Linked DNA regions of Caenorhabditis elegans. The protein of the gene in region 2 interacts with the protein of the main gene of each other region in a pairwise test. Each region holds a gene or a part of one and is shown on either strand. Other genes may lie near its edges.

The links. The genes of interacting proteins can lie anywhere in the genome.
Region 1: the proteins of crim-1 (region 2) and Y69H2.3 interact in a two-hybrid assay, tested with the Caenorhabditis elegans proteins (2 studies listed by BioGRID).

Annotation. Positions count from the first base shown.
Region 1 is NC_003283.11:18,661,058-18,665,685, forward strand, and holds the start of Y69H2.3 (Follistatin-like domain-containing protein), read right to left. Parts: upstream 3,070-4,628; 5' UTR 3,040-3,069; coding exon 2,973-3,039; intron 2,931-2,972; coding exon 2,854-2,930; intron 2,805-2,853; coding exon 2,669-2,804; intron 1,755-2,668; coding exon 1,560-1,754; intron 1,494-1,559; coding exon 1,302-1,493; intron 1,257-1,301; coding exon 1,062-1,256; intron 655-1,061; coding exon 565-654; intron 121-564; coding exon 31-120; intron 1-30.
Region 2 is NC_003283.11:10,329,092-10,334,045, forward strand, and holds the start of crim-1 (Cysteine-rich motor neuron 1 protein-like), read right to left. Parts: upstream 3,022-4,954; 5' UTR 2,954-3,021; coding exon 2,795-2,953; intron 2,097-2,794; coding exon 1,988-2,096; intron 1,746-1,987; exon of another isoform or gene 1,606-1,745; intron 163-1,605; exon of another isoform or gene 160-162; coding exon of another isoform or gene 90-159; intron 1-89.

The DNA of each region.
Region 1 (4,628 bases), 8.3 Mb from region 2:
TCCCGATTTCCCCAAATCCTAAAGCGATACCTGGTACACAAGTCGGCTTGCCAGTTGACATGGAGCATTGGTGACCGGTACGGCAGTCCACCAAGTTGCATGGGTTCTCGTCAGTGCTGCCTGGAAACAATTTATATGTTAGAGTCGGAAAATTCGTATATTTTGAGTCGCAGGGTATGCACCAGGATTGCGTCAAGTCATTACGTCGTTGCATCATGATTTTGGCATGAAAACAAGCTAAAATCCCGATTTTTGCGTCAAAAACAACCCCAAACCTTCAAAATTGATTCAAAAATGTGCCGAAAGTTGGCAGATTTGTTGAAACTCGCACGTTAAACCAAAATGTGTGCCAAAAAAACGTTTTCGTCAAAAAACTGCCAAAAAGTATGTCAAAAGCCAATATCCCCATAAAATTGGTCCAAAACTGTCCCAAAATGTGAAAATCGTTCCGAAAATCCACAAATTTGTCAAAATTCCATCCAAGTCCATTTCAGGACACCAAATTCTCAGAATTTTAGCAAAGAACCGCACCAAACCAGCGCCCGCGGACAGAAAAAATGATACCTGGCACACAAGTTGCCTGGCCAGTTGACATGGTGCATCGGTGACCGGGCTTGCAGAGTACCAAGGCACATGGGTTTGTGTCAGTCTTGCCTGGAAACCACATTTGTAGGGGAAAATCAAAAAATTCTGCTCAAAACTGCCCCAAAATAGGAAAATTGCTCCGGATTTGTCGAAAAAAGGGGTCAAGTCGTTTTTTGCACCGAAATTTTGGTCCAAAAACTAAAACTTTTGTTGAAAGGCCTAGATTTACATCAATTTTGATGCAAACCTGCTCATAATCGCAAAATTGTTCTAAAAATCAACAGCGGAGTCAAAAATGCCGCAAAAATTCGTTTCAAGACACCAAACTTGCTAAAACTCTCTAAAACTGAGCTCAGCTCAATTTTCTTAGATATTTTCATCAAAACTTTGCCAGAAGCCTATTTAACATGACTTTTTGCCCGAAAATTCACTCGAGACCCCTAAAGCCACTAGAACTAGGCTTCAGCCCTACTAACCAGTCGGTGGGCACTCTGCAAGCTTCACACACTGTCCCTGCCGGTTCCTAACGAGTCCCTTCTTGCAAGAGCATGCTTTTTCGCACCTCATCATGCACCTAACAAATGGCTGTGGATTGACAGGACATTTTGCCTCGGAGCACGAATTGTGACAGTCATTGGGCTCCTCATTCTTGGAGCAAGTCAGTGTGGAGCCTAGAATCACTGGCTCTAACTAGTTTCCTTTAAAACGGTACCCACCAGTAGCCGGACACTCGGTAGGGTTCACACACTGTCCCTGGCGGTTCCGGAGGAATCCCTTTTTGCAGGAACATCCGATGTCGCATTTCTCCATACAGTTTACCAGTGGCTGGGGCTTAACCGGACACTTTTTCTCGAAGCACGCGTTGTGACACTGGTTGGGCTCCTCGTTGGTTCCGCAGGTTTGAGAGCCTGGAAAGTTGCAGTGCGGTGGCGCAATTCTGGTGCATTTTTTCGTCCAATTTTTAGAGTACTTACCAATCGCTGGGCACTCGGCCTCCTTGACACACACTCCTTGGTTGTTTCTGACGAATCCGTCCATGCAGGAGCATCCGACTTGGCAGGCCATCAAGCAGTTCACCTGTGGAGCATTCTTTTGTGGGCACTTCTTCTCGGTGCATGGGTTGTGGCACTCGTTGGATACCTCGTTGACTGGGCATGTGAGGTTGGTGGCTGGAAATTGGTGGGGGGTTAGAGGGGTTTGGGGTCGGGGGTCTTGGTTTGGAGGCTTTAGGATGCCTGGTAGGTTTGTGCTTGGCACCCTTGAAGTCTGGCGCTGGTACCCACGATCTGGGCTCGGTACCCCAAGCTCTGAGCTTGGTACCCATGAACTCTGGGCCTGTGACCCATTAACTCTGGGCTTGTTACCCTTGAAGTCTGGCACTGGTACCCACGATCTGGGCTCGGTACCGTGGAGCTCTGGGCTTGTTACCGTGGAGCTCAAGGCTTGGTATTCTTTAACTCTGGGTCCGGCAGTCCCCGAGCTCTGGGCCAGGTACCCACGAAATCTGGGCCTGGAACCCATGAACTCTGTGGCTGGGGACCCTGAACTGTGGAGCTGGTATCCCTGAACTCTGGGCTGGGGACCTCTGAACTTTGGGCCTGGCACCCCTGAACTCTGGGCCTAAGATCCATGAACTCTGGGGGCTGGTACCTGGGTCTAGATACCCGTTTCGAACTCCGGGCCAGTGTCTGTAGGGCCTGAGATGCCTTAGAGAATGGGCCTTGTCAGGAAGATCTGATTTTCAAGCGGACCCCGCGCTCCAAAACATCAGATTCCAGGACTCCGTGTGCAGCCCGGCCCAAAATTTAGTCTTTCGGTATCCCCAAAATTTGGGGCAGGTACCCCCGAACTCTGGGCCTGGGACCCTTGAACTCTGGGCTTGGCGCCCACAAAGTCAGGAGGCTGATACCCCCAAGCTCTGGGTCTAGATACCCGTTTCGAACTCCGGGCCATTGTCTGTAGGGCCAGTGCGGCCTTAGAGATTGGGCCTTGTCTGGAAACTCTGATGTACTAGCGGACCCAAAATTTCAGATTCCGAGACTGCGTAGCCCGGCCCAAATTTTAGTCTGTGTCCCCTTCTAACCTGGTGGTGGAATTGGAATCGTCTCATTCGCCGCAACATTGCAGTCCTTCTGCTCAACACAACGATTATCCGAAGTTCTGCGGAAGAATCCACTGTTACACTGACATCCCATGACGCATTGCAGTGTGCAAAAAGTCTGCAAAAACCACGTTGTAAGCCGGAATTTGACAACAAAATCTGCTCACCGGAGTCGGAAGCCCGCAAGTCGGCTCGCAAGCCGTGCCACACGTCTGGAAGCTCTCGTTTTCTTTGCATTCTTGGTCTGAAAGGGGTTTAGGTACACTTTTAGGTTGGAAAAACTTACCTCTTGTCGCTGAAAGTTGAGCGTTTGCTCCGATGAGCAGAACGCTGAGCAGCACAATATACTGCATCGCTCCGAAACTCGGAAACTCTGGAAAACTATAAAATCACGCCATTTTATAGCATTTTTATGCGAACCAAAACATAAAGTTTCAGGAAAAACATTATAATAAAAAAACCAGAAAATCGAGAAATCAGACATCAAAAGTGCGGAAAACATTATGTTTTGAGAGAGAAAAGGAGAAAGTAAACAAAAAAAAATGTCTGTGTTTTGATGATTTTTGGGGTCAAAAGATTGGAAATTTTGCAGAAATTGCTGGGAAAAAATGGGGAGTTTAAAGAAAAACAACATTCGAAGTTACAGAAAACTTGAAAACAATATGCAAATATTGCAAAAAAACATGGAATTTTCGGGAAAAAACTATTGTTCAAAGTAAATATTTTTTGATATGTTTTCAAGTTTAAATATGTAGTTTGAACTGTTTTTTCCAAAAAAAAATTATAGAAAAAATCTATGAATTTCAGACAATTTTACATAGGAAAAATCAACTTTTCAGATATTTTTACATAGGAAATTGGAAATTTACGGCATTTTTTATATAGACAAATCAAATTTTGAGACATTATTTTACAGGAAACTCAAAATTTCAAATATTTTTACACTGAAAATTCGAAATTTCAGGAATTTTTACATAGGAAATTCAGAATTTCTGCCATTTTTCTACTGGAAAATCACTTTTTTCAGAAATTTTTTATATAAAAAAATTCAAAATTTGAGACATGTTTCGACTGAAAAATGTATTTTTCCGGTATTTTGAACTGTGAAATTCAGGATTTCGGCCACTTTTAAATGAATAAATGGAAATTTTAGACATTTTTACATAGAAAATTTGAAAGTTCAAACGTTTTTTTTACAGGAAAATCAATTTTCTAGACATTTTTAAACATGAAATCTGAAACTTCAAGAATTTTTTATATAGGAAGTTCAAATTTTTTACGTTTTTGTACTAAAAAATTCAAAATTTCCGGCATTTTCTGCTAGAAAATCAATTTTTCAGATATTTTCACATGAGAAATTCAATATTTCAGATTTCTATACAAAAAATTTGAAATTTAGGACATTTTATACTGGAAAATCATATTTTTAGGATATTTTTTCATAACAGTTTGAAATTTCATGCATTTTTACATAGAAAATTTGAAATTTCTGCCATTTTTCTACTGGAATATCACTTTTTCAAACATTTTTACATAAGAAATGTGAAATGTTTAGAGATTTTTATATAGGAAATTCGAAATTTCAGAAATTTTTTACATATAAAAATCGATTTTTCAGACGTTTTTCTACAGGAAAATCAGTTTTTCAGATATTTTTGTATAGGAAATTTGAAATTTCTGCAAGTTTTTGAAAATCATTTGAGAACTCTGCGTCTAAATTCCCGCAATTCTTGTAGATCTGGGGGGTAGATCAAACCGAAATGGGACAGCATGGGCAGTTTCACTACAAACTACAAACTACACTTGAGTACTAAAATTATACGACTAAATGACGAGACAAAATCAATATTTCGAACCAACAAAAAAATAAACGAAAATCTAACGAAATTCACAAAGTTGTAGTGGATTTTTGGATTAAATGAACACGCGCGAGTTGACTAGA
Region 2 (4,954 bases):
ACCGCCATCACCCCCTTTGTCACTTATTTTGACTCTATTAATTTCTTTTTGACAATATCTGTTCAAGAAGAGAATGCCTTCTAGCACACCTGATTGCTCCGTTCGGAGAAAATTGACAAATGAGAAGAGAAGTAGAAAGACGCAGACGACTAGTTGCATTCTCGAGCTGTAAATATAGTGAGTAGGAGAAAGAGGATTAGAGCACAAAAATACACAAAAATCACATGGAAAAAAGAAAGAAGGATTTGAAAACATGAGAACATCTGATCAGGTGGACACCGAGAAGATACTTGGTGATGACTGAAGAACAAAAAAGTTGCAGATGACAGGGTCAATTTCAAGTTGGTCAAGGCATATGAACCATTTTTATGCATTTCAAAGCAAAAATCAACTGGTACACATTACGATGAAAGGCGTTTTATGGAAGTGGCAAGTTACAATATGCAGAAAAACAAAGTACAATTTATACATTATAAGCAATGGATTCGGTTTGTCTAAATTGAAACAACAGATATTACATAGTGAAACCAAATTCATTGCAGTTAATATAGAAAATAATGAAAGGCATTTTTATTTTGAAGTTTCAAACAAGTTTATTTTTATTTGTTGAAAATAATTTTTGTATATCAAATTTTTCTGATTTTTCCTTGTTATTTAAGCACAGAAATGTCGGGAATAGCCATTTTGAAATTTCAAAGTATGTACACATAATTTTTGATATATACTAAGACATTTTCAAATTCAAATGAGAAGCAGAAAGATTTGCCGATGACAAAAATAGAAAAAAAAATTTCATGAAAAGAAGCTTAACCATTACTAATCTCCAAGACACCAAGCTCTTCTTTCCGTAAAAAAATTATCGAAATGATTTACGTCGTCCCGCATATGGCCAACTCTATGCAACACTTGAAGACAAAGTAGGCGGAGTCAATTGAGGGAGACAGAGGTTAGACACTTCTCGAAACTCTGTTCTTTTTCGGTGTCGCGCAATTGGTTAGTCATTCGTTCCGTTTTTTTTTTTTGAAATTTTCTGTTTCCTATGCAATCATAATTCGAAAATTGAATTAAAGTTTGATGGCATCTTGAACGAAACAACACGGAATAGACAAATACAGGAAGGAGTACATTTTTGAACTGAAAATCCAGACAAAACCAAATGTGCTTGAGCATAAAATAATTCGAGATCAGGTTGAGACGGAAATTCTACAACAAGGCCGATCGTGGCTCGTTGTTCCATTATATTTCAGTAAAAATGTAGAAAATGTTTTAATAATCTATAAACTTTTCATTTTGAGTTAAAGGAGTTGGGAGGTGCTTAATGATGGCTTAAAATCTTCCAATTACCAAACATTGGAACAACATGCCGCAATCAAGAATTTTCTAGCTCACTCCTTTTCTAGATCTTGAAAGAAATTGATAAAAACAATTTATTTTTGAACAATCTAAGTATTTTTTAACAACATTCAAGTTTTGGTATGCTCAGAATCCTTGCAATATTTCAATTACTTGATATCCCCATTGCCTACATTGTCCGATTTTTTATCCACAACAAGATCGTTTCAATTCTCAAGTTAGTCCAACCCATTTTCTACCTTTGCAAGCCGCCCTATCTGCGGACACAACATAGAGGACTTTTTGGTTAAAAAACTGCGGGCAGAGTGAAGTAAAGTAAATAGAAATTGTATATTCGGGAGAGCAGGGTGGATTGCGTCGTCCGGCGAGCACACACGAGAAGCCTCAGCACAAGAGAACCGCCACCATTTTGAGAAGTCATTTTTTATAGGAAGAGAAAATGAAAGAGAGAGAGAGATAGAGAGACTGAGAAGAAACCCTATCAAATTTCAGCAATAAAATAAGCCCAATAGTAACTCTAGAGCACCCTTTTCTTTTTAATTAGGAAGCATTCTGGACCTCGAAAAAACAACCAAAGTTCTTTCAAATCGAATGAAACATGCAAAGGGACTTTGAAATATTGAAGAAAATATACCTTTACATCGACTTGAACCATCAAGATCGTTTTCCTGATGACATGAAAGATGCGAATCACAAACAAGACCAGGCCCGTCGCAAGTTTCACCGATTTGTCGAATGCAGACCTGCAAGTATAACTTTTTGTTTATTGTTTGAAAGCCGTTAAAAAAGACCGCACATACTTTTTTATAGACTTTTGACTTATGTTTAAGTTTATTCAGTGTATTTCTTTTTGTAGAAACAAAATTATAACTAAAACCGCGGTTTAAAAACCGAAAGTAAGATTTAAGGGACAGTTATTATCATTTGAAACTTAGAAAGTTGAACCACTTTCAAAGCAATTAGGATTATTTTTAATGTACCGTGTTTCCTCTATTAGTAAAAAAAGTACTAATTATCGGGAACCTATCTATGTGCAATTTCATTATAGGAATAAGAGGAATAAGAGCTCTAAGAGGATACACGGTATCTGAATTATGCGTTTCTATCAAACGGTTCTTCGTTTTGGTACTGATTTGACTGTGTAGCATAATACATTAAAGCTCATCTTTATTCAGTTGTTTCACTGAGCATTTGATCCTTTCATTTGTTCATTTGATCATTGTCCAATAATAATTAAGTTATTGGGGATTTATGATAATAGTTAGAATTTTAGTCATGAGAAATTGTGGAAAATTATTTCAAAAGCTCACATTCAATGTTCTGGAATTTTAAAAAGAAAATTAAAACTGAGGAACTAGAATATTAAAATTAATTTTAAAAATAAGTTTTAAAGAATTGTTAAACCATAGTTCGTTTTCTATCAAAATTTTAAATTACTCACTTCGCAGCAATCGCACTGATCCTTTTTCAATTGCTCGCATCCTGAAACATCTGGACATGAATCCTTGTCACATGTCCCGCACAATGTGGTCTTTTGGTTTTTTGCATTGGAAATGATAAGAAATGTGAAGAGTAAAATAATACTACTTGACCACTGCATTTCAACAATTCTGCATAACCGTTTTTGCCGTTCAGCGGAGAAGCCGCGTGATGAACGGCCCACAAGCTCTGCAAAGAAAAATATGAAAATTGTAGTCATGTATATAAATTTTTTGTCGATTTTTTTGGGACCATGTAACTAAGATTTCAATTCAAATGAAAAAGTAAGTAAAACGAGAAACAGAGAGACCGTCTCGTAGTGTCCCAATTTGAAATGAACTGTGTCTGTGCAGGCCCCGCCTTTGAAAATCGAACTGCGCGGGATCTTCACGACGGTAAAGCACAAGAATCAGAGAGGTTATAGACAACGAAAGTGATCCGAGTCGATCGGTGAAGAAGCTGCACTGTCAAAGAGAAAGAACACAAGCGAGCAAGCAGGGAGACGAAAAAAGGTCTGTTGACATTGGGCGAAAGACAAAATGATGAAGGTGCGCGGAGACAGAAAGATGGTAGCAGAAGCTCGTAGTATACCGAACTGGCGCCCGATGGATTAGAACACTTTGTTTTGCAATTCAATAGAAAGAAACAACAACATAATTAAGAAGAAACACTCAGTTCATTTGACAAAGGAGACCTAGTTCCGTGTTATAACATTGATAATGACTTTCATCAAAGATTCTAAGTTTATTCATGTTTACTTTAGAAACTAGAACCAGATCAAACAAAAAAAAATAGGTGGATGTTCCTATGCTACCTACTCAAAAGAACAGTTTTTACTTAACTATTTGTTTTATTCCACAGTTTTTCAAGAGAAGAGAAGTTATCTAGTTTTCAAAAATAACAAGTGATTTTATTACTGATAAAACTATTACGTCTCGTGCAAAATGTTCATTTGAAGAATTCAACTTTCAAATGATTCCGGAATTATCTTCAACGTTCACTAAAGAATTTACCGTTTGAAATGCAGAAAAAAAGAATATTGAGGAGCAGGAAACCTGGAATATTTGAAATCTGGAGAAAATGAAACCCTGAAAAACACACAGAAAACTGGTCGCTAAGCGTGTCAACCTTACAAAAAGATTACGGTACTTTCCCTATTAGCCTTGTACATTTAATGCTCTATCTTGGCAGCTCATATTTGGTTATCCTTGGTATTATCACAAATTTTGTCAATACTAAAATATCAAAAAGTAATTGGCACCAAATTTATGTGCTACATTTTTAAGCCGAAGAAAACCTAGAAATAGTTTCTTAAAGTATATCAATAAGGGTAGTGCTATATTTTGTGGTATTCTATTGAGAAGTTTCCAATTAATTAGGAAGACATGCCAATCAGCCGAATGATCGAAGAGCATTCAAATCGTATTAAATTTGAAATAATACTTCTTTAACTTTAAAAAAGTACACAATGTTCCACAAAAAACGATTCTTATGAAAACTCAATAAAAATCGCCTGGTTTAGGCCATAGTAAATTTTTTATGTGTTCAAAATGCTCTTATCAACTTGAGTGAACGAGGACAAGAAAATAGACAAAAAACGAGTCGATGAGAGATGGAAAAGGAAACATTGAAACCATTTAGATTATGCGGGTCTAGACGGGAAAAGGTAAAAAAACGTCTCATGGAGGTCTCATTGAAATACATGCTGCCTCAAATAAGAAACCGGTAAGGAACGGTGTGATAAAAGATAGAAAATGAGATGAATGTATGGTAAAGAAGGAGAGGTGTTTTGTTATTAGTGAGGGTGTAAAAATATTAGAAGAGGAATTTCAGAGATAGAGGAGAAAGAGTGGAACGGAATGCCTTTTCAGCAAAAATTCCCTTTCTTCTCTTGTAGCTCGGTAATTTTTTATCACAAACACTTCATCGACGTCTTTCACTAAAAAAAGAAAAAAAGAAAACAGTTTGAAACTATCGAGAAAGGATGATGATCGAGAGGATGATTGGCGTGAAGGTGAGAAGATTGATTACAGTGTATATTGGCGTCGAAATGTCTCTTCGGTATATTTCTCCTTTTGCCTTCGAAAGGAAAAAATGACAAGAGGTTAGAAAATGGAATGTG